Linked DNA regions of Lepisosteus oculatus. The protein of the gene in region 2 purifies or fractionates together with the protein of the main gene of each other region. This does not show direct contact. Links are inferred from orthologs where the notes say so. Each region holds a gene or a part of one and is shown on either strand. Other genes may lie near its edges. The genes, in order: gpc1a; trifunctional enzyme subunit alpha, mitochondrial.

What was found.
Region 1: the proteins of trifunctional enzyme subunit alpha, mitochondrial (region 2) and gpc1a purify together in Homo sapiens (co-immunoprecipitation; 3 studies listed by BioGRID and IntAct, with this or other methods). This does not show direct contact. The link is inferred for Lepisosteus oculatus from reciprocal best matches to the Homo sapiens genes HADHA and GPC1.

What each region holds. Positions count from the first base shown.
Region 1 is NC_090708.1:10,789,849-10,802,649, reverse strand, and holds the start of gpc1a (glypican-1), read right to left. Parts: upstream 5,276-12,801; 5' UTR 4,585-5,275; coding exon 4,431-4,584; intron 1-4,430. UniProt on the Homo sapiens protein: Cell surface proteoglycan that bears heparan sulfate. Binds, via the heparan sulfate side chains, alpha-4 (V) collagen and participates in Schwann cell myelination.
Region 2 is NC_090697.1:47,016,109-47,028,783, reverse strand, and holds the start of trifunctional enzyme subunit alpha, mitochondrial, read right to left. Parts: upstream 6,346-12,675; 5' UTR 6,303-6,345; coding exon 6,236-6,302; intron 3,469-6,235; coding exon 3,427-3,468; intron 3,342-3,426; coding exon 3,271-3,341; intron 2,683-3,270; coding exon 2,549-2,682; intron 2,340-2,548; coding exon 2,201-2,339; intron 1,642-2,200; coding exon 1,522-1,641; intron 1,416-1,521; coding exon 1,313-1,415; intron 1,105-1,312; coding exon 982-1,104; intron 1-981. Other genes in the region: hadhb (trifunctional enzyme subunit beta, mitochondrial), read left to right, coding at 8,971-9,037, 9,423-9,464, 9,874-9,970, 10,500-10,544, 10,722-10,821, 12,293-12,380. UniProt on the Homo sapiens protein: Mitochondrial trifunctional enzyme catalyzes the last three of the four reactions of the mitochondrial beta-oxidation pathway.

The DNA.
Region 1 (12,801 bases), on a different chromosome or scaffold from region 2:
AAAGCGCCTCCAATCCTCCCAATCATTAAGGGCACAGGCAACTGGCTATTGGTCACAACAGGGTGTAGAGAGGCATCCTGAATATCTTCACTGAAAGAAACCTTTTCAGTGTTAAAAGACTCTGATGAGACTACGCCACCCATACAGTAAATAATGGTTTTACATCACATTAGGGCATCACACCGATTACAAGTCTTTCCTCAGAGCGACTGCAAATTATGTGCAGTGTTTTGCATTATGTGGCAAATTAAATACACAAACAAACTTCTTGATCAAATATCAAAATGACAAACTGGAGATCTTTGTTCTTGCAAGTGCTGTGGTGGACCTAAATATTGTATTTAAAACAGTACTTTGATTAATGTACTTACACTTTAGAAAGGCTGTTCTATGACAGCTTTTTTAAGATATCACTGATAAGGCAGTGAAAGCTGCTTCTTCTGTGAAAAGCTTGCATGGATGCTGCACATTGGTGGTGGTGGAGGGGATCCCTATTACCTGTAAAGCGTTTTGAGTGGAGTGTCCAGAAAAGCGCTATATAAGTATAAGCAATTATTATTAATTATTATTATTATTATAGTGAAAAATGGCTGAAACATGTATTGGCTGTATTGATAAAAGGGTTGATCTTTATTATCTCTTTCTCCATCAAACCTCTATCAAATCAAGAAATCTGCATGTTCTATGTGAAAATGTTCCATTCCCTTTGTGAATTTTGGTATGTTGTTTTAAACATAAACTGTTAAAAACAATAAGATTTTTGTCAAAGTGCACGCTTTGTTTCTAATTTACACTAAATATGTGATGAAATCTCAAGACTCTAATGACAAAAATAACCAAAAGATAAAAATGCTCTTTTTGGAGGTTAAATTAGGCAAGGGTAAAGAAACCATTGCCAGGTTACAGTACATGAGGGCTGGGTTTAAGCAATTAACACATTTGTCAGCTCTCCATGAATTTTTAAAAATGTATATGTTAAATATAAAATACAATGGAACTGCTATTAGTAAAACAGTTATATTTAAGTACAGATCAGAAAATTGTTTAGAGAAAATCCATATTAGCCTCTAAAGAGAAACTTTTTTTATTAATGAACCACTAAAATACTCCTAATAAGAAGAAATTAAAATGAAAAAATATCCCTCTTATTAAAAACTGCATTTTTCTTTCCTTGCACCTTATACATAAGCTTTTTATACAATCTGAATCGTGACAGCAGACAAAAAAAAAAGATTTGCTTAACAGCACAGTACTTCATCCATACATCACCCTCTCAATGATGCCAAGTACAATTTTACTAGTTCACTTCATAGTATCATTGGATAATTAGTACAGTAAGAAGGTTTGTAGTGCACCTCCTAATGACTAAACCCTAAGTGCCTAAATTAACCTATGAGTTCATGATGGTTATAAAGTGAACCAAAACATGTCAAAGCAGCAATTCTTGCGCTTTGTAATTTTTTTGTGGGCACTGTGGACAGTGTACAGTATGATGGAATATTGAATATTGAATATACAATATAATATACTAAGTTGGTATCAGTGCAGTAAGCTTAAGAGTGTTTAAGACATCTTTCAACCTTTGTAATTCTCATTTATCACCACATATTCTATTAAACTGATTCGGATGACTTAGCAATGAGCTGAACGTGTACAGTAACATAAATTTCTGATTCCTCGTCAATTTTTCCAACCTTGTACACTGCGCATGCTCGATTTTCCCCTTACAGATTCCCAGAGGGCATCAAAATTGCGTCCAAAGTGTGGAAGAGAAGCAGGTGTTTTATTTTTAGAACATAATACTGCATCCATCCAGTTTCAGTCCGCTTTTCCTCGAGAGGGTTGCGGAGCACTGCACTTTGTTTCAGTTAAAGTACTACAGTGGCAGGCATATTTTATATGAAAATTTTAAAAATCCAGAAGTCTTTATCTTTTACTGTGAAACCCAGTGTTTTGTAGTTTCACCTGCGTAATGTTTTTTTTTTCTCGACAACTCAGTGAAGTTAAATACAGTGTAAGATTAGAACGCCCCCGCAGTTAGGAATTGAACATTAACGGAATTAAGTACATGTAAACAAATTGGTCAAATACTGTACACAGATTTACAGACATAAACATTCTTAGGTCTTACTGGCACGCAGATATTGTTCAGGACAATGACTCGCTGGAGTCAAGGCATAGCATACAGTACTGTATGAGACTTCCCAAAATGCCAAAAGGCCATCTCGACGGAAGATTCGGACCAATCGAAGAAATCTTTTTTTTAACACAGGGATACCCTTGATCCTAGAAGGTAAAGTCGTCATATATAGTTTATATCAAAGCATTAATGCTTTTTTGGACGTTTATGGTCACTTACAGTAAAATACAGAGAAACACGAAGAAGACTGCAATCAATTCTACAGTAGGGTACCAGATACAAGCAACCACATAAAGACTTGGAAAACAGTGTATCATAGTAAATATATAGGAGGATGATTTATTAATAATGGATGAACACTATCATACACTGGTGATTTTATCATTTTTCTGTGTGACTTCCAAAATATAGAAATGTGTACACACTCATACAGTAAGTGTACAATATCTCACAGTTCGTCGTGCCTGTATAAACAATACAAATATACAGAAATAGCATCGAAGTCCATTTTGCGTTACAGAGGCCTAAACATTCTAAACATTTGAATTACTTGCCTTAACTTTACTATCGGCTTTACAAAAAGTCGAAAAACTGTGCCAGTTGATTACGCGTGCAAGACGTTGCAGCATTAATACCATGCACATACAGAAAAAGACACAAATATGCTACCCTAATCCGTTCAATAGCTAAGGTAGAAAAAAATGAAAGATCAACAGCTGTCATGTGTTGCCACAACGTTCCACTTGCTAAATAGGACATTTTGACAGAGGATTATCAGGCATCAAATTCTGTTGCATTTAATATCTAAAGAACATTTTGACAGGAGGACAACATCCATTATATTATTATATCTTCCTTCCTACAACTCCTATAATAGTCTTGATTTAACAAAGACAGGACATTCTGGTGGAAGATTCAAACCAAACAACTATTGCTACAGTACTCTATTGCATAAATAGCTTAAGCAGTATTTTTGGTGAACGAAAGTATATGATTTAATACAAGCATTCTGTGTTTTAACCAAATATTAATAGTTATTTGTAATTATATTATCCTCAAAATAAAGTTACATTGTTTTCCGCACTATAAGACTAAAACATGTTCCAGTTAAAAAGCACGTCTTTCAGAACTACCGTACTCTGTTCCAAGATACATTTCTTGAATGTTTATATTCCGAGACTGCAGGTCGTAACATCTGAGTGGGTGGCTAAATTTGACATTACACTGGTATTAATAATAGACTAGCAAAAGGTCATTGCAAACAGGCGTTTATGAAGAGGTCTGGTGTGAAGCTTTAGGCGAAAAAAAACGCAACTGCTAAATGACTAACTTAAGACTTCAGATAATGTAAACGTGCAACGTTTTTCAGCACGCAATTCGAGTTATTGAGCCAGCGAGACCCGAGCTTAGATTCTTTCTCAGTAAGATACAGTCCACCTTGAATGCTTCATATTGTTGCAAATATTCAACACAAGGTCTTCCAGGGGAGCAAGACCAAGCCTGGCGTTTTCATCTTCCAACTAAGCGTGAGAATGTAAATAAAATACTTTAAATTTGTGCATAAATCATAACTGCTTTCTTTAAAGGATACAATCTGTATTCCGCAGTATATTCATGATTTGTACTAGTCCTCCTGTTTTAAGGAATGTTTTCAGTCGAAAGGGTAATTACATAGAATAAAGCAAATCTTTTACTTCAAAAGCTTTCGATCTTAAGAGTTTTAAGTGTGGTATAAACTTCAAAGAAAAAAAAACAGCACATCTTTCGGATCAATGGCACTTTGGAGCTACAGTAGTTATGACTCCAGTTTGTTTATAAGCGATTTAGATTCATATCCCCGCCTGATTTCTTTAGCATATATATATATTCAAAAAAACTGCTCAATATATATGGGTGGCGCCACGCGTCTCGATTATTTATACATCCTTTCCGAAACACCAAATGTAGTCAACAAATATCCAGTACGAATGGGACGAAAGTAGAGATAGATACAGTATTCTGTTTAGCAACTAAAGGCTATTGCATTGAATTCGTAACTCTTCAGTACATGCTTTCCTTTTAATAGCGGGAAAGGAATAGTTACTTCATAAGGTTAGATACTGTATATACAGTATGTACTGTATTCTTCTTTGAACTGTCGTGGGAAATCATTAAATGAGTGTACAAAACACGATCGCCATGCACGCACAAGTTACAGCTAGTCTTACACTATATGATTGATGCTCAGGCGACGTGTTATAAGAGGAATCTCAGTAAATGTACTCTATAGTAGCGTGAGCGTAGATCTTACCCGATATTTCAGTCTGGGGGACTCCGACCAAGTGAAAGCCCTTGCCGCTGTAAAACTGTCGGACATCCGAACAACTCCGGGCTTTACCGCTTGTGTTTTCCCCGACAATCGGAGTGGCGAGAAAGCAAAAGAAGAAACTCAGTCGCAAATCCATTTTCTAGGCAGACGAAGAATCCAGCACAGGGAAAATGTCTAATCCAAAAACCAAGTGAATTCAAATCACCAAAGTCCTACACTAGCTCAGGTATCCACCTGACTTCTCCACTAGTCTGCTATCTTTCTAACACGCTTCAGCTGTGCTTGCGAGACGCCGGCGGATGCTTAGACCGGTCTTATGATTTTTTTTAAAGCTTGAAATAAATGTTTAAATCCAATAATATTCCGCAATATTTGATTCTGCTTTTCCTGCTGAGACTAAGGTAGTTTTATTTCTGTTTTTTTGTTCTTAGAAAAGGGAAGATCTGAACCTTAATTTCTGTTACAGTTCCTTTTTAGTATTTTTCATTTTTGTGTGGGGGAACAAAAATCATCACTGGAACAAAAAAAAGGAAAACACTTCATTTGCAAAAAAAAAATAATCAAAGCATTATCCGAGCCTTAACCAATGTAAAAAAAAAATAGAAAACTAAACAGGCAATTATGTTGACATTACAAAAAAAAAGCGCAGGACTCAGCGTTTTGCGGTGAAACCATGTGAATGCGAGAATGAGATGTTTTGCTGTAGTTAGAATCCTCCAGCTGACTTTATAGCGGTGATGCTTTCCCAGTGCAGCCCCATCGATGACTGAAAGAAACTGGGGAAAGCACCATAGGCAGGGCATAGAGTCCGTTTCTCTCTCTAAGCGTCTGCAGCAGATCTTACCCACAGGATGTTGCATCAAACTACAGCCTCGACCAATGGCGAGAGGTAAGATTTTTTTCGTCCTCTTTCAGTCTCTCCTTCTTATGTATCCCTTGCCTTGGCTCTTTCAGTTCAGCTTGTCTTCACAACCGCTGATTGATTCAGTGGAACCCCTCGGTTTTTCATTTTTAACTGTGCTGGGCGAACACAAATCATTGCTTTCAAACAAGACGATATTTAACTCTGGCCGGAACATACAGGATTGAGCAAAGCAGGCAGCTACGGTGTGAGAAACATGAATGTTTGAGAGGTGCGCACTCATCGCTCACCGTGCTTATAATGCTAAATATTCGTTTATTTTAAAAGGTTAATCCGCGATGAAGAATTGGTTTCATTTCTTAGGATGTCGGGTCTTGTCATTTAGTGGAATAAATAAGGTATTCCTTTTACATACATAAAATATACTGTATGAGCGTAACTATTATTAGAAGCAGCTGTTTACCTACTGTACTGTACAGCACGCTTTAGTCTTCAAAATGTATATTAAACCTTTGAAACCATTTTAAACGCCCAGTTCTAGATTCACTTCTAGGCTGTTAATGCTACTTTGTTTAGCAGATCAAACATAAGCCACACAAAAGAGGAAATCAGACTGTTTCTTTTACATTTTTACAGACATTAGACCAATTGCCACTGATCAAGCCGACTCTGGATAAAAAAATAACTTCTTCCCAATATTTCAATAGAGCTCATCTCTTGCAGTCTCAAAATCAATTTTGATGCCCGTCATTAAAAAATCTCCAAGACTTCTACATCCTTTTTATGATGCAGAGCCAGAATTGAACGCAGTATTCGTCTTAGTCTAAGTGGAGCATGTGCAATTCATCATAACCTCTCTGGAGTTGTGTTCAGCATTCTTTCATATACAGTATACCCAAGAATCCTATTTGCCTTTTTAATTGCTTTTCCACGATGCCTAGGAGATGACAGTGATGAATCCACTACAACACCTAAATCGGTTTCCCACAGGGAGCCATCCAGTTCAGTGCCACACATTTTATTCATAAGATGTTCCACATTACAAAGGTATTGATAAGCATCATTTTGCCAAGCTGTCATGATTTAAGTTCATTAGAAACAGAGCCAAACAAACAAGGAGTTTCCACAATTTAAATAGAATTCATTAGATTCCTGACAGCCCACATAATTCTCATTAATAAGAGTGGAAACTGTTGGGGCATACTAGTAATAGGGTTGAGCTAATCAATCCATGTTCATTACAAAAACATTTCTTACCCAAACCTACAATGGATTATGTTTTCTGTTGCTACCTCACAATACAAAAGCTAAAGTTAAAATTATTGTTTAGTTTTAGCAAGTCAGGTAACGGTTGAAGAAAGTTAACATCCTATTCGTCAGTGAGATTATCTGTTTTGTTCTTCTCAGTGAATGCCTCCCTGAAGTTTATTTGCTATACAGTATGTGCTGTTTGCAAGTGTCTACATTAGAAGACTTAGAAGACATCATGACATATTTTTTTTAATTAAATATTTTTTTCTTTTTTCTGGCTCAACCAAACATTCCAGATTTTAGGTAAAACAAGTAAAATGATCTTCAGAACAAATACATTTTGCTTTTTGTCATGATTAAGCGTGTCATTCCAAATTGAAGCCTGAAACAGAAATACAAAAAAAAACATTTTCTCAGGTCTGTGTACTCACTTGGGAAAGATAAAGTTAGAGGTTTTATAGTACTAGAAAAGCATGACGTAATAGTAAGTTAGGAGATAGAAAATATAGTGTATATGTATTTAGCTAACAAGTGTCTTTTTCCCTTCTTTGAAATAATACACAATACACAATACACAAAGCTGTGACATGCTGGTGAAAGATTTTCTCAACAGGAAGATTTTCAAGTTTCTACATATTTGCAGAGCATGGGCAGTTGTCTAGAGACTTCAAACAAGCATCAACTAGTTTAATAAAATCATACAAGGAGAGTTAAAAGAAGCACATAACACTGATTATTCTAAGTAGGGGTTGTGAAGAAATTATTTCTGTAGTTCAGAAAGTCTAGTAGTAAATTAGTGTTTGTAAAGTAATGTGAAGCAAGAATCCCAAATTTTAAATATTCAACTTTGGTAATAAAATAATAATATAATGAATTTGCTGTGGTACAGTTTCAAGTTAAAATATCTCAATCTATACAAAGAACGCAGCGTAAAATGTAATTTGACGTTTGCTGTCTTAATTTAAGAATTTGAAAATCTTTATGGACTATTCATTTATAACTTTGAGCTCTAGAACAGAATGAACTTTTTTTGAAGTGAAGAATGTCCTGGGAAATGTATATTATGTACAGTATGCAGCAATTCCCTCATTATTTCCTTATGAACTTTTGTAAAATTGTTACTTCTTTTCAACTAGGTCTCTCTGAAGCCTTGGTGTTTTTTTTAGTTATAAGATTCTTTCTGGTGATTTGACAACACTTTGTAGTAAAAAAACAATATGAAGTAGCAGTAGTAATTTAATACTGACAAAGCAATGTGTGTTGGGACTTTAGCCTTTAAAGATTTAAGTAAGTATCTGAGACTATGATTAAGCCAATATGACAACAGAACTTAATACAAGACACTTAACACTTAATACAAAACACAAAACACATCTCACAAAAAACATTGCCTCTTGGTTTTTTTTTTATTTTGTATTGGCTATTACATTTAATTTCCTGAAACTATTCTGTTCAAACAAACAACATTCTACTGTACATTCACATGTGGCAGAGCTCGACTTTGATTTGATCTTACAGAGGAATATGCCACTAATGAGCTACATTCTGTGTGTGATGGGATTTCTGCACAACAACATTTTGCATTTCCTATCTTCTCTCATGATGTTTACTAGCGACCACCACCAAGAGTCTAGCTTTCTAATTCCCAGAAAATATAATACATATTCTTATTATACCAGAATTTAGGTACTTGATGTAAACTAAGCACAAATGTCAGTTAAATAGACCCAAGAAGCTGAAAAGCATAGTTGTTAGTAGTTTTGCAACTTATCAACTAATTCACTTTACCACATGTTAATATTTACCTGTTCAATGTGCTCTTCATCATTCAGTACTATAACCAATTCATAATCTCCTGTAATGTTATGCCATGGATGGAATGTTTAACAATGCTGACAATAAGTGGAGTACTGTATGTTCAAAGTAAGCACATTCATTCCTGAGGAAATAATAATAACATCACTTTATTAACCCTTTACAATTTCTTGCTTTAGGAATTATCTTTTCACATACCCCAGCTTGCTCTCCATGAAAATAGAACACTACAGTATGTTTTGCTAAGCTTAAGTTGTTTGCTGTTCTGAAGCACATGATGAGCATGAGTTATAGAATTTGGGCTACCACAAGGTTTACAGCACTTATACGTCATTTTCAAATTGACTTCTCAATTCAATGCTACTGAAACACATGCACAAAATGTGGTAGTTATCAATATGTTTGTTCCTTACTTTTTAAAGTAGGCAACCAATCCACACAAAGTATTGCATGGCTCATGCATAATGAAATTATTGAAAATAGTTGCCAGCACAGTTTTGAAACAGGATATGAGCACTTTAGTATAATTTATTCGCATCTCTTTCTCATTTTTTTGAAAACCCCCTAAACCCCATATTTTTCCAGACAGAAAAGTGCAATACCATAGCAAACCACAACAAAAGAACCAAGATGAAGCAAAGCAGAATGTGGAAAAAAAAGCTCATACGCAAATCATGACAGCTTTCATTAACAAAGCTTAATTAAATCAAGGAACATTTGGCATTCATAAAATAATTCTACTGGATAAAGAAACATGTTGATGTGAACGGGCTTTGGAAGTGCTGGTGTAGATTTTCATAATGATGTTAATGTCATAGGGAGTAAAACAAATTGTAATAAAGAAATAGGTGTGGAAACTTGCCTATACTGTAACTACATAGAAAAACTGCCATTGTTGTTAAACCTAAAGAGCCACTTAAAGAGCCATGCTATTTTCACATTTTTTCAGGCAGGGTTTTATAGAATGTAACCATGAAAGAGGGATGACTTTTAATAAGCAATGGGGAGGGAGTGGGTTGTGTTTGAAGTGCAGCTTTCGGGGCAGAAGGGGATAAGGGGGCTACACAGCCATATGTGTCCCATAAGGGTAGCGTTCCTGGCATTAGGAACAGCTTCCGACACTGAGCAAAGAGCTCAAATATGCACAATAATTACAAAGAGCTTCCTAACCACACATGTGCAACAACAGTCTGAATTAGAACACCGTCCTGCGTCTACAGTGACTGTTCAGGGTCTCCTGATCTACTGTGGCAGACAGAGCTTGCCTATCCTAAACTTTAATTGAGAAAGATTTCATTTTCTTTTTTTTTATTTCCTCATTTTTAGAGCCTATTTGTATACATCTTGTGTTGAATTTTGTTCTAAAGCAAGGAAAATGCAATGAACAAACAAAATAGAAGGGTAAAAAAAATCAAGAAGACTTTTCGTAAGCACTTTAAACTGAATTAAAGCATTGCACGCTGATATGATGAGAGAAAGTGCAAGAGGTTTAATGTGTATCCGTATTAATTATCAAGTGAAAATAAGCCGTTACTCTCTCTCGTACACACAAAATCCCCAGTAGAGTTTCGTTGCATCACACTGCGAAGAAAGAAGGTCAGTTTTCACAGACAGAAAAGGGAGGCAAATGGCTGGCACATCAGTAACGCTGGTACAGACAGATCTTGGCAGCTGAGGGCACAGAGCAATTAAGACAGAGAAGACACAGAATGGAGTGCTTGATGAGTTTGGGGTACAGCAAAGATTTATCTTCCTGCTTTTCCTCCACCTGCAAGGTACAATACTTTGCCATCAAAGAATCTCTTGTAAGAATATCCAGGCAGTGGTTTACTTACAGCAGTAGAATTGCACATTACTTATTCAGTGCGACTACAATAAAATTACTTTATCCAAAATATTGCATTACATTGTATTATTCATTTATCACTTCTCCTTCATAGACCCATTAACATTATAAGCAATATGGCTATTAAGTATCCCTGAGATACAGTATATCTATGTTTCATTTTAGTGATTTTCTGATATTTTTAACATATGCTCAAAATGTACACGCATAGAAAAGTTTGAAGCTGGCATGCAAGACTTCCAGGTAAAAACATCTGCTGCTTCTGCTGGCAGAGCCATACTGTACCAACCAAGTTTCTGCCAGCTTGATGCCGCTGTTTGAAAAGACCGATGTTAGTCTGTAACTAAGTAGAAAGAAATAGGCGTGGTAAAACAAAATGTCTGAGTGAGGAATGAGGAATACTTCATCTGAACATGAAGGTGCAAGAAGGATTGAATTACTGTTTACAAAACAGAATCATCATGAGGATGGAAGCACGTAACAGATATTGGAAATATTCATACAGTTTAGGAAATTCTTCCAGACTTGGCATTTACTCAATTCCCATGCCTTTGTATCAAATAGACCTTTTGTCACGCTGTGGGATGCTATTCCAGAATCTTTTATGAAACCGACACCAAAGACAAGGGCTCTAGATCTGCAGGGTCCTCAAAAGTATATAAAAAAAGAGATTCTTCCGAGTTCCTAATCTGAAAATGAGAATCTCCACCTCTAATAGTTTTGTGCAGGATATACTGTAGGTATTTTACTGATGCCACACTAGCATACTACAGGCTTAAAGTATTTATAGAAAAACATGTTCTGGAGAGGAAAACTAAACAAATTAAATCAGTAAGCTGCATTCTACAACAAATGAGAAAATAACTTTTTTAGCTGAGGAACTATAATTAAGTAAATTAGAGACTGATTTGCTGAATAAGTGAAATTCAGCATTCCTTATTCTTGCTTTTCTTAGTTCTTAGTTTGGCTATATAGTACATTCCTCTTTTGTTTTGAATGCCAAACATTTTAATGGCACCGTGAAGAAATAATATACCATATTGAATGTTTCACTTTGTGATTCCCATACTATACAAAACAGCCCCACAACCTTGGTCCTCCTCTGTGGTGGTAGAGTGTGTGTGTGTGTGTGTGTGTGTGTGTGTGTGTGTGTGTGTGTGTGTGTGTGTGTGTGTGTGTGTGGATGGTCCAGTTTGACAGAAGTAGACAGGTGCTAACCAACTGAGACTTTCACTTCTAGGCACACTTGTGATTGTCTGCCACAGGGAATATGCTTAGTTTTAGGTCTTCAGAAGACACCCCTTTCAGACAGCCTGGAACTAAACAAATGCCACACACACATTATTCTTAAACATGCTTAAGGACAGGCATATACAAGTATATAAGTGTCTTATAGCTGACCTATGTTATATTCAGACTGCCTCCCTCATGCATGTAATCTGAACACAAAACACAAAGATCAGCACATTTAAGGCATATTTAAGTGTTTTCAGGAGAGCTTTTAATAATACACAACATAGTACATAAGACATAAGAAAGCACTAAGCTGAAAAGCAGACATTCCACAGTACAGCCCGTGCACTGCCAGTACTGGAAGCAAGAATAGAATAGAGTATTTGTGATTATCCCTGCCGATGCTATTGCTGCACCATCAACAGAAGTGTCTCTTTCAGAGACTAAAGCTCAAAAATGGTAATACCAAGGTGCTTCTCACGAATGGAAATATTGTAGATTCATTTCTAGATTGCATTGTGAGTCATTAATGAAGGTTGGATCCAAGCTGTGTGGTCTCATTGTAATGATAGCTGTGACCTTTGATGTCCTGTCTGATGCTCTACTGTATTCATTTGGTGTAGTCTGTGCTTATATGACCAATTACCTACTGTCTGCATTGAAGCAGAACTGCCACTGGGGCTAATAAATGTATTGAACATGTTAGAGTTGTAGCCCAATGCTTTATGTTGCTGTAATGATCACATTCACAACATCTGCTGGTTGTAGTTAAGCATGAACATGCTGTTGACGGCCAAGACATGGTCATTTATCCCTCTCATTTCCATTATTGTGACAATGCTTCCAGGCTATTAGGTTCATGCGTCATCTTAATTTTGTTTTTGGAAGATGCCTTCATCAGTTTTTGTGAAATGAAAACTAATTTAATGAAGGTGCCATTCTTTCTAACTCAGCTTTTTGGAGCATACAATATTTTAGTAGAAATGAAATCCTTAAAGGTTTGAAAAATGTAACCTCCTAACCTGTTTTATCATTGGATTCACATGAATTTCCATCCTCTAACATTCCTTTCATTCTCTGCATGTGTGTATTGCATTGGTTTATTTTTTACCGTGACCCAAATGAACTTAATCTATTATCTACTAATAACTGGCTTGCATGAAAACTGGACATATCTACAGTACATTAGCAGGTCTCCTCATTCCAGTCCCACAGTATTGCCCAGTAAATGTTATTGCAGAACATTACTATAGACAAAAACACAATTTATCATCATTCTTAGGAATGTATCAAAATAAATTGAAGAGAGAAGCAAAACCTTATAAATCTTAAATCAAATATTAGTG
Region 2 (12,675 bases):
TTATATTCTTAAACATTTAATGTTACATTGGCAAGAGGCTTACAGTCCTGCCTTGGGCCACACGAGGGTGCTATCTCCCTCCCCAGAGCTACACAGAATTCATCCTCCAAGAACTGGAGAGTGGAGTTGCAGTCTGTACCAAGGCTGGTGATGTTAGAGGACGAAAATATAACAGCTGGCTCTTAATATCTCCATCTTTCCACAGAGAAGGTAAACTAGATAAAGTACCATAACCTCACAGTGGCCAAGAGCTTGGTGGAGGCTTTCCTGTAAAGTGGTAACATTGTAGGTCCAAATGCAAGAGAGCACCTAGATGTGTGGTGGTGTGATAGAGTACGGGTTGGTGTTGTGTGAAAAACCCACTAGGATTATTACCATAAACATTGCCTTCTACCTGCAAGACCAGGGAAGAAATCTAGAGTTATAGACCACTGAAGGGTCCCCTGTGTAATGATTACAAAGGAAACTTTTTCTACTGTGTAAATGATGTTGCTAAGAAAAGAGAGACAGGTATTGAAACTGATTTTTATGTTTCCTTCTGGGGACGATTCGTCTTGGGTCGAAATAGCAGTAGACAATAATGACTGGGACTGTTGTGTCTTAAAGAAAAAAAGGAAAGCATAAATACCCAGCTCTGTGGGTGAACAGAAGTCCAGAGCACTCCAGATACGCCAATTAAAAACCTAGTCTAAAGCCACAAGACTGCTCGGGCAGACAGATCACCGCCTTTCACATAATCTTATGTACACATTCATTGTTTTAGTAAAAAAAAATGAATCTAACTTTTTCCCCACAATCAATGATTTTGAGAAAGGTCTGCATAGTTAGACTAAACATTTCTGAATCCGTATGTTGTGTTTTCTTTCTTCTCTTTTCAGCATGGAATAAACCTATTACTTGTTCCTATTTTATAGAACCCTTCTTATATAACCTCTCAGACCATGTAGAGGTGTACATTTAAAGACTCTTCCTCAGACTTACTCTGCATCAATCCTTTGTCTTTCTTGAGGGAGATTTTCTTACTGACTATTCCTTTGGCACATTCCACAGCAACTTCTTCAAGGTACTCAATTGTTCTCTCCTCGGGACTTTTCAACCCAGGGCCTTAAAAGCGAAAAAGAAACAGATCAGTACCCAGTCCCTTGCATAATTACAAAGAACATATAGGATAAATCAGGAGATGCCAAATAAGTATTAATACTTCAAGTTAAATTGAAAACTGTCCTGCTGACGTTTGAAAAACTTTGTTTGAAAAAAAAAAGACAAGCACTGATAATGGGAGAACAAGTTTTCCGTTGACAGAATTTTTTACCAAGTGGGTCGACAAGCTGGTCAACAAGCCCCATCTTTTTAGCTTTATCAGCACGGATGTTTCTTCCCGTCAACATCATGTCAAAGGCAGAGGGAAGACCCACCTGTCCAACAAAAGGCCCAAGAATAATTTAGTCAATCTACAGGTGGAACACACACAGCACATAATATGCATGAGAAGAATGAATCTTGATGCATTTCCATCAATACCATTTTTGGCAGTCTCTGGGTTCCTCCAGCTCCTGGCAATAAGCCCAGCATAACCTCAGGCGTACCAAGAACTGTCTTCTTGTTTTTTGTTGCCACTCTGTACTGGCAAGCAATGGCAAACTTGAAAAGAAAAAACAAAAACAAAATACAAAACATCAACGCACTCACCAATGAAGTGAGTCAAAATAAAAATTGTCAAAATAAGAACACTTATGCAGGTTTCTCATCGGTATCTTATTTATCTTGTTGTAGCAGTAAACATGTTTTTTAAATGGCGAACCGATGAAGATCAGCACAGTGCTGCTCATCTCATGGTAAGGCAAATGTCTTTCAACTGCTTGGCTTGGATTTTTTCCATCACTTTAATTCTTTAAAGTAGTGGAACTGCTTTCTTCTTCATGTCTGCTTTTGTTACAACTGAAGCACCTGCAATGTATTTTGCTGGCATGATGTTAAAAATCAGGTGTACAACTACAATCGATCCCTTTGTAATTACAAAAATTACTGAGCAAAATAACTGACATCACAAGGGAAGTGCCTTGTAAAAATCACAGTCTGCAGTAAAATACAAGTTTTAAACTATGAGCTTTGCTGCAGTGAAACTTCATAAATCAAGCACTTCTGTAGTTTGGGTATGAATTCATAAAACAGAAGAGTGTGTAACTGAATGAAAACTAACCTCCAGGCCTCCTCCCAAACAGGATCCATTAATTGCAGCAACAATGGGTTTGGGGGACTTTTCAATCTTCTCAAACATTTTCTGTCCTTCCTGAGAAAGTTTGGTCACTTCCGCTTCAGATTTACAGGCCTCTATCATGCTGCAAGAAAAGGAATAAAAACGAACTAAAAGAGAAGCGGACAGGATCTGGACATAAAATACTGAACAAGAGTTACACCAAAATGGGCAAATGAAAAAAAAACCCGCCGGTCACTTCTATGGCGTTGCAAAATAATTTTTATCGGTAATAAAGGACACAACAAATACACAGACAAATTGCTTCAATTTAATCTATTAATTAGGACTGACTTGATATCTGCTCCGGCTATGAAGCAGCCAGGCTTGGAGGAGATGAGCACAGCACTTTTGACGGCATCATTTGTCCAGACTTCATTCATTACTTGTGTTAATTCTGACTGCATCTGCACCGACAAAGCATTAACCTGCAAAAGACAAAGACAAATCAAAGTTTCCTTTAGTATTAAAATGGTCGTCTATGTAACCTGCCTTACATAGGCAACAAATAAAAACTAGTTAAGTCACTTTTTTATGGCATATTATATAATCATTAAGATTATACTAATATTTTCTACATGTTTTTTACCTGTCTATTTTTGTATTTAGTTTTTCTATATCTTCATATTTAAGTATGTCTCAAAATAGGACAAACTTTTTAGAAAAATTCATTTATATTTGGAGCATTGCTTTAAGCACGATATTCATAATTGTTCTTTACTTTCATAAACCTAATACATTCCTACTTTGTTTTGTAGGTGGGTATAAAAGAGTGATTCTGCTGGCGTATGTCCAGTCTTTAGCAGTTACACCGGGTGTCCTTATTGGTTAGGATAAAAAAAACTGACAGTGAATGAGACCAAAGGTCCACTTATAGCTGCTATTGTGTTTTTAGTGTCAAATTAATATCAAAAGTAAAGCTTGACGTTATTCAATTGAAAACTAGGCGTTTAAAACACAGAACAGAAAAAAGCTGGAAATATCGGAAAAAAAGTCTAATGATATATTTGAAGTACCTTGGAGTTTGGGTCGTTGACTCGTATAACTGCAACATCTCCCTTAACTTCATAGTTGACATGGGTTCGAACTGTAGGGAAAACAAAATTTGTAACCATTTTACAAAATATTAACAAAACATACTGTACAACATAACAGACTATGACCATAGTTACCTAGCATGGCAGAAGAAACTGTGAAGCTGCGGCACGCATAACCTACAGAAAGAAAATAAAACTTATGAGGAATAATAATATAAGGGGTATTAATAGCAAAAGTAGGTAGTTAAGGTTTTACGTTAAGATTCACTTTCAAACAAGGCAGTACAATCTGAGAAACAGCACATTTATTAAAGATGAATAATAACCCACCTTATTCGTCAGGTGAATTACTCACATGAACAAGGTCATGTGGCCTTTTTTTATGTACTATCCTCAAGGTGGTAGCAATGAAATAGGCAATAGCTTTAGTGACAAACTTATCACACTATCTGAAGCACAAAATGCAAGCTAATTAAATAAAAGACTATGAATGCATCATTCATGTTGAAGGATACATACATCTCAATCAAGATAAACCGAGTGAATTTCACAAACCAAATAATTATCTATGGCAAAGCCTGCCTTTAAACGGAGGAAAAGAGAGACACATTTTGGTCCCAATCAAAACTCCTAATAAACAAACTTTGCTTGGTGGATTTCGGAATGGGTTCTTAACTAGCTCCTTAAATTTGGCCGTACAGCTCATTTCCCTGTGTTTAAAAGAAGTCCTTTTAGCGCTCCTGTATTTCACAAGTTCTGGTTCATCAAGGCAGAATCAAGTGCTAACATTGAATTGTTTGGCTGTAGCTCGTTCAGTCTGGTCTCGTGCTCTTCAACCACACCTGCTCAAATGCTTTTTGCTTACAGTCCTTGTTAACTTTCCCTAAATGCAAAACATTGTTACATTATCTGCTGGATGTTTCTAGAACTTCCTGGAATTTAACAAAATTTTAAGTCCAGTATGTGGTACTTGATCAGACTAGTTTGTAACCTTGATGGATAATTGTAGCTGTTTCAACACCTTAATATTCATTTTACCCAGTGACCGCTGACACACTACAGCTTCTAGTTGGGGACAAATCTCTTTCTACATTCATAAAATACCCATGGCAAGATGTGTAGTGTTAAATATAGAAGGCTGAGGGAAACAAATGCGTCACATTTATAAGTATAAATGAGAAGACCTTCAAAACAGTTGTCATTCAGGAATAAAAAAAAAATATTTTTAATGAAGCATTTTAAATGCTTTAAAATATTGCATTAGTATAGGTTTATATATTCAATTAGCTTGCATTTCAATAATACAAATGCTAAACAGTAAAAAAAAAACTCTTAACATGGAAAGTCAAGTGAAAAATCACATTGAAGTAAGTGGTCCCTTTAATATTTGGGGTCAACTTGGGGTCGTCAAGTCTACTTGATGCAAGAAGGCAATGAACTTTGACACAAATTCCTTTTATAGGTGGAAAGATAAAAAGCTTGCAGAAAGTGACCTTTGTCCTTCTTTTTAACATGTGACACAGCACAAGATCAATACCACTGGCAATGGCAACTGCTTAGTAATGGCCACTGCTTAAATCAAGGTTACAGTACATTCACAAGTGAAATATTTTACAGAATATTTTAATCTGCAGTATGTTAATCAAATTATCATTTAAAATGGAAATCCAAAAAGTGAAATATGGAACACAGCTCTACCTGAATAACCTTTAAATGTTAACACCATAAAACACATGTATTAAACTAGAGTAATAATCATATTTTACTACTTTAATAAAGTTTAACTGGCACTGACCTAAGAGCACTACATGGTTTAGCTCCTATAGCTTTTTTAGCAGTTTTATGTTTTCCATACAATATCAACTTTTGTTAATATTCTGACCTCTTTCATGAAATATCTATATTCCCTCGTATAGAACTGATTTCTCCCATCTTTACAGAATAAAAAAGTGCCTTAAACTGAAAGGGTTTTGAAGACTGCAGTGATTTTCTCTTGCCACAGTGACATGAATGTTAAGGTATAAGAAGGTACAGCAACAGCGTTTTCACTCCACATAGGCTCAGTGTGCCTTAATAAAATCGATTTTCCCCTTGCCTTCCAAAAATTAAATGAATATACTTTATAGGCTTTTTATGAACTTTAAGTCAGAGGCACAGAAGTTGATCACTATAATTAACACTGAATATTAAACTGCACGGCACCCCATTTAATACTTTAGCAATTCTGTGTTTGAGTAGTCAAGTAGAACGAATGCTCCTCCATATTAAAAGGTAACTTTAATTACTGCAGAGTGATTAACAGCATTCTGGTATTTTTTCCAAATCTCCATATTCAACTAACTGAATGCAATACACATAAGGAAAGAAAACTCTCACACCCTACGGAGAATAAACAAAAACTGTAAGACTGAGTACATTGGTGTGTGTTCAGTCTTTGTGCTCAGTGTGTAGAAAAAGTCTTAATTTTTCCTAGCGTTGCTGTTTGTAGTACTGCACTATAATCACTTACTTCAAAGAATTACAAAAATCCAAAACATTAACTATTAAGAACGCTAATAATCATGATTAAATTCAATGAAATTGCCTTTAAGACTCAAAGAAAGCAAATCAATCACGAAAAAAATAAAAAGGAGAGCAACGTCTGGGTGAATTAAAACTGCAAAACGCATAAAGGAACAAATTGCCTTAGAAAAAATATTCAATTTTATATGCATCAGCTACAATAGACACAACAAAACCCTTATGTTATGACTTCTGTGTGCATTTCTATCAAAGTAACTGTCACTATTTAAGTAGGTGAAAGGTCAATGCAGACCTGCTTCAGTTGCATACTGTACACCCACTCATCCAGCACCAAGAAACTTCTCTTTTCTTAAACAATAATGGCAACAGAGGAAGGTGCAGGTGGCACCCAGCATCTTAATAAGCTAACATATTCAGTTACCTGAAAAGAGTGAATATCTGCTCGTTGCAAACCTGGAAAGTATTCCAAGCGCTCTTACGCCAGCCATCTTTGCCAGTCAAGTTCAGACAAGGGAGAGAACAACCTTTGGCAAGCAGACTAGGACCTTCAGTATTAATATCTGTTGAGGACACCACAGATAAGCCTGAGACAAAACATAAGAGAAAGCTTCTAAAAGTAAAATTTAAATATATATAAAAGTCTAAATATTCTAAATTATTAAGGTTTCCAGTTTGTACTGTTGTTCAATTTCCTACTATTATTTCATTAATGTAACGAGCCGCACAAGGATGTCAGGCGAGGATTGGGAAAGCACAACCTGTCGAAGGTCCTTAGAGAGAGACAACTGTAAGGCTTGTTGTGTCCGGGTCAGTCAGGGTTTGGGTGTTGCGTGTGAGTATTCCGTTACGGACAAGGTGAGCGTATTTCGCCAGAAAGAAAAGAAATCGGGTAATGCTTTCAGACATAGCGCTAAAACATGTGTAAACAAGCAGAGAAGTATGTAAAGCAGCATGCATTGTTTTTTTTTAAGTCATGGGGAAACATCAGGTGCAAATCATTGCGTTGCAGTTTTCACATTAGTAATTTGAAATTCAGGCGCTTCTATTTCAGTGACACTCCTCTTACTTAATAGTTTAACATTGCATCGTTCGTATAGATGTTATCTTTATGTGAATGAAATACAATGATCAATAAGTTGCAATCGGTACTGTTTTCGATAACTGATTAATATTTTTTTAAAGGTTGGTTATGATTTGGTACGTTATGTGAATAATTCATTTTCTATTCTAGATCGAGAAAATCGTGCCAAATTAAGCGAGCGTTGTCGGAGCCAGATTTTGTATTATTTTTGCAAGCGCCTTGCATTTCCAACATCGTTTGAAAGTTCTCTTTACCAGTAAGAAGTGCCCCACTTTTTTGTTAATCTCGGGATTTGTGTAACCATTAAAGGGAACACAGTTCTTGAATTGTGTGGATTGGATTATCACAGACCTTACTTTTCCAACCAAAATGAACTGCAATGTATTGTTTCATTGCAGAGGCTCGTGTGGTATGGAGGTTGGAGAAGTAGGTGAGAGGTCAAGTGTAGCTGTGGGCGGTGCTTCCACCCAGATAGGAAACTCTCACTCCGGAACACCCGATCTGTGAATATAATGTACAATATGAATTCCGTATGCGTTTTACTACCTTGAATTTCTGAAAAGGTGGAGTTAAATGTCAAATATATAGAAGTGCTTGAGAGATAACTAAAATGCTTTTGAGTCTCCTAGAACAGAATGCAGCTTCTTTGTGTAGACTGAGGCAGTGACGTTGCAGAACAGTTTACTGTCTTATCGTTTTATCAAAATGGCAGGATAAATATTTAAAAGAGTAGAACTTAACTCAGGGGGTTATGTTAACATTTGTGTGATGCAGACTTCATTTGGAATACCCTGTGTGTGTGAAGTTGGATAGACAACTTCATACACTCAAGCAGAAGGCAAAAAAAAAAAACACTTCAAAGATGTCATTAAGGTCAACCATGAAGTCAAACAATTTTGACACCAAAACCTGTCATATGTCTGCTGTGCTGGACAGCATCATTTAGAATATGGTATACAATTTAACTCGCCATGTTTTTATAAAATAGATATTGCTACTCTAGAATCCATCCAGAAAGGAGTAGTAACATTGTGGGGCTGAAGGGATTGTCCTACACTATAGTGCTGAAGAAACGTGAACTTTTTAGTTATGATCAGAGAAGGCTATAGGGGGATATTATCCAGAACCTGATTCAAAATCCTCACATGCATTGGCAGTGTCAACCCAGCAGAATCCTTCAGAATGAACAGTGAAACATGAACCATTGGACACAAGAAGAAGTGCGTTTCAAAACAGGAACAGGAGACACTTCTTTACCAAAATGGTTGTGGGAGTCTGGAACAAGCTACCCAGCCATGCTGAAGCTGTGATATCTTAGATTCTTTAAATAAATGGCTGGTTGAGATTCTTGTACTTTTAGTACTTACCACGAAATGGGCTAGTCGCAGGCCATTATTGAACTGATTTTTTTTATTTTCTTTCTTAATAGATTAGGATTGGTACAGTTTTATAAAGTTTTTGTAACCCTGCTGCTTTTTATGTGAAGAAATGACTCTTCTCACACAAATCAAGCTTATTATCTTGAGAACAACCTTTCACTTAGGTTCATGTGGTTGCTATGTAAAAGGCACGGAAAAAAACATCATGCTGAATTTAAATAAAACTATTGAAATAATGCAGGTGGATTGTTTTGCATTTAAAGCTTTAATACTGTTGTGAAGTTGTCATTTATGAAAAGGGAAGACAAGTTGTAGTTATGTTCATTAAATGCTACAGAAAACAGTGGGGGCTGTTTGACTTGTACCCCACTAAACATTATTAGATATTTATTTATCTAGTTTAGTGTTTTGTTTCTTTTTAAGACCTCTATATATATATATGCATTTACAAACAAGCTTTAAATCAGTTTTTCCTTTTTTTTTGGTAAATTTTGCATTTCCTAAAATTGTGAATCCTTCATAAACGGAAAGTCGTGATATCATACCTGGATTTTTATGATCATTCAGTGTAAGTGAAATACTTTGTTTAACAATCTTAGGATTAACTGTGAAAAAGATCAGGGTTCTATTACATTTTCCTTACAGAAGGAGAATGAATGTTGACGACTTTTTCTTCTGCATTTTAGGACAGCAAAAATGGCATCCATTTTGACACATGGCATCAGGAACTGCCCAGTAAATTCTGCCTGGGTTGTTAAACTTGGTAAGAAAAAAAGAACAGGTTATAAAAATAAAATTCAGAATAAATCAGTCTGTCATTTGGGATTTCCAGTCTGGTATCTTCTGGTTTCACTCCAGCTACCCTTTCTATTATCAGATCAGAACCTTAGAACAGGAGGAGAGCATTTGCTCTGTTGTGCTAATTTATTTCTGCAGTAACTACATGATCAGAAAATAACGTCAATCCATTTGCATAGAATTTGTTCAGTTCATTTGCATTGAGTTGAATCTGTTCAATTTCTTACATTAATTAAAAATAGCTAATATCAGAACAAAAATTGGAAAGCTCTTAAATATAGGTTTTAGTGTATATACAATGGATGTTTTAATTAATCTTGGAAATATTTTGTATTTTCCATCCTTATCAGCTGCTAGATCACTGACTACGACATCACATTTACAAGCTCAAGGTATAGTCTAATTCTTTTGTGCCATTTGTGCAAAAAAGAAAAGTGTTTTTTTAGCAAAATGTTTATTTTACCTTTGGGGGTTTTGAATTAAAATAATTTATCGATAATTACAGTACTTTCCAGAAGACTAAAAGTAAATTATCCTTTCTTATGGTGTGAAATCTTTGATTCTTCAAAATCCTTTTTTGAAGGACAGAATGTAATATTTTAAATCTGTGTTGTTCTAATTGCTAGATCCTTATTACTTTTTTACCGGTGCTTTTGTGCCTAAAGTTTAAAAGTGTTTTACAAAAGATGTGTTTAATGATTTAGATTGACAATACCATCAATTATTTTGGTTAAGTTTATTTTTATGTTTAGTATTAGTAAGAATGGAAATGTTCTGAATGTTTTGTCTTTATTATTGTAGTACAACCCAAAACTAAAAAGACTCTGGCAAAACCTGGTGTGAAGAATATCGTTCTAGTTGAAGGAGTGCGCACCCCTTTTTTGCAGTCTGGAACAACGTAAGTAAAAATATGAATGTCTTTAGTATAATCTTTCTTAGTTATTAATGCACAAACTAATTCAAACTAATGGATTAATTCCCAAAGAAAACATAATTGTTTCTTCACGTGCAGAACATTTTTCTTTTTTTTTTTCCGATGGGGTGGGACAAAAGATGCTACAAGGCTTTTCCCCTGAAAAAGAACAATCCAGCTTAACACACCTGAATTGTAAACTCCATCCACCCATCCGTTCATTCAGGACATATTCTTCTTTCCTGAAGTCAATAAAAGTGCTGCTCGTTTAAATATTTAAATAGATTGTGATAGTAGGACTACAAGCTAATGCATGTGAAATAGCCTAGTAGTGTATTAACAGTTGAGGCTACAGCTGTACCCTTCAGCTTTTTTTTTAACACGCTTGTATTTATTTTGTGCTGTTTGGGTGTTAAGTGATCTTTTTACCCTTAACGTTGGGAATTAGAGCTCATGTTTTGCCAGTCATTATCTACCTTCAAGCTAAGACAAAATTTCTTTGACATTTTTTTAGGTATAGTGATTTGATGCCTCATGACTTGGCCAGAGCAGCGTTGCAGTAAGTAAAATGAATTGTAAAATTCAAATAATATTCCTTTGGGGTTACGTTTAAGAAAATGTCTTTGGTAATGGGTATGATTTCAGGAAACGGCAATATGAAAATTCGGTAACACTAAATATATGTACAATCAAAAAGGTGTTTTTTTTAGTACAGTTTTAAACCATCTTTCAACAGGGGGCTCATCACCAAGACTGGCATCCCAAGAACTGCTGTAGACTATATTGTTTATGGAACAGTAATCCAGGAAGTGAAGACCAGCAATGTTGCCAGAGAGGTAACGATCAACTTTCAGACTGATCTCAACCCTCCTTGCTTTTTGTTCATGCATGCGGAGTGCTTCTATGAGTGTCACACCCTCTGCAGCCAGAGGGCGCTCCTTCTCTGTCCTGTCCCTAGTTTCCGGTCTGCTGTCCTTCCTGTCCCTCTCTTTCCCTTGGGCTATATATTTCCGGGTCTTGCACTCTGTCCTCGCTCAGCATTGACGTTCGGATGTCCTGAGACCCGCCTAGCACCAGGGCGCCCCACGTCCGCTCCCTGAGGGCATAGGTTTCTATACGGCATTCCTGAACCCTTTGCACTAATGAGCCCGGGCCTTTTTCCCGTCTCGCCGCTACGCATATTGGTCTTTTTCTGCTCTCCTGCTCCCCATGGTTAGTCCCTTTGGACGTCCGTGACAATGAGAAGCACTCTGGCAGTTTTCCATGGATTTCCTGTGTATCTCTTGCATAGCTGCTTTGTAACTATGGGTAATATTGATATAATAAGATTTCCATTTCTGTTTCTACAAACACATTTTTCCTGTATTTTCATTTTGTACATTTACCCTGTATTTTCAAGCCTCTATAATCATACCACCGCAAGAAGAAACATTTTGGACATGTACAGCATTACATGGGTCTGCAGGGTTCACTTAGAAACATTGCATACTCATTTTAATGCATAGTTAAATCAGAATTTAGAGTGGTTACATATGTCAGAAGTCTTGTCCCATTTTGCTGAGTGTTTTTCAAAAGAATGTTTTGAAGTGATGTCTTAATATAATAAACCCATTGAATCTACAGTTTTTCCATGTACTGTAGTGTTATGGTGCTTTATTCCCTATGTTACCCCTCAAATGCCATCCAGTGTATCCATTCTTTCGTGCTTCCCTTTATCTGTGTACTTGAACGAAAATGAATCCGCACTACATGCAGAGGAGAATTCCATGTTAATCATGGAGCTTCATGGGAACTCCTATGGGAACACTCATTGATTAATTCTAATAACCAGTTGTCGTTCCAGCAAAAAGGCACCTAGTTTGTAAGATTATTAAAATGAAACTGATAAGTGATCGTTCATGTGAGCTATAAAAAAAGTTTCTGAAATATGATATCAATTAGCCAAGCATTGAAAATACTCATGCAGTTGTTGCTTTGCTTAACTGTATTTTTAACAACAGCTTGACTTTTGCTCTAGTTGGCAGCACTTGGCTCTGTCTTGAATAAGTTCCAGCCTTTCCATGTATTGCTGTGGTAAATTAAACTGTTCTCATTAACACAGTATTTCATTTAAGTGCTTTTCTTAGACTTCTAAAGTTTGTTGGATTGCTTGAAGGTTTCAGAAATATTTGAGGAATTACCCTTTATGATTTAAATGTAATGAAAGGTGTGCTGGCAGTTTTGTGAAATCCTCTGTTGAATTTACCAATATGAAACTTTGTGCACTTAAATGTTTCATGTCTGATTTATTTTAATTCTGTGTTTTAGGCTGCCTTGGGAGCTGGTTTTTCAGACAGAATTCCAGCACATACAGTCACCATGGCTTGTATCTCATCTAATCAGGCAATGACTACAGGTATCTCCGCTACTTATATGTAGAAATGCGTTCAACTACACACAAAATTCAATTTTTCCAATGGTTCAAACATAGCAGTAGCGTTCTTATCTGAGCGTCTTCTTCATGGTTCCTTGTGCATGTAAGAAAATGAACACTTTTCTCTGATTTTAATTGAAGCTTTTCATGAATGTTTTATTTAGGAAGAAAAGCAACAACAAAGCTTTCAAAATGCAGTTTGTTGACATTAATTAAGTGAAATTTGTCTCTGAAGGTCAAAGCTTTAGTATTATTGAAGTTAAAAGGACATTCTAAT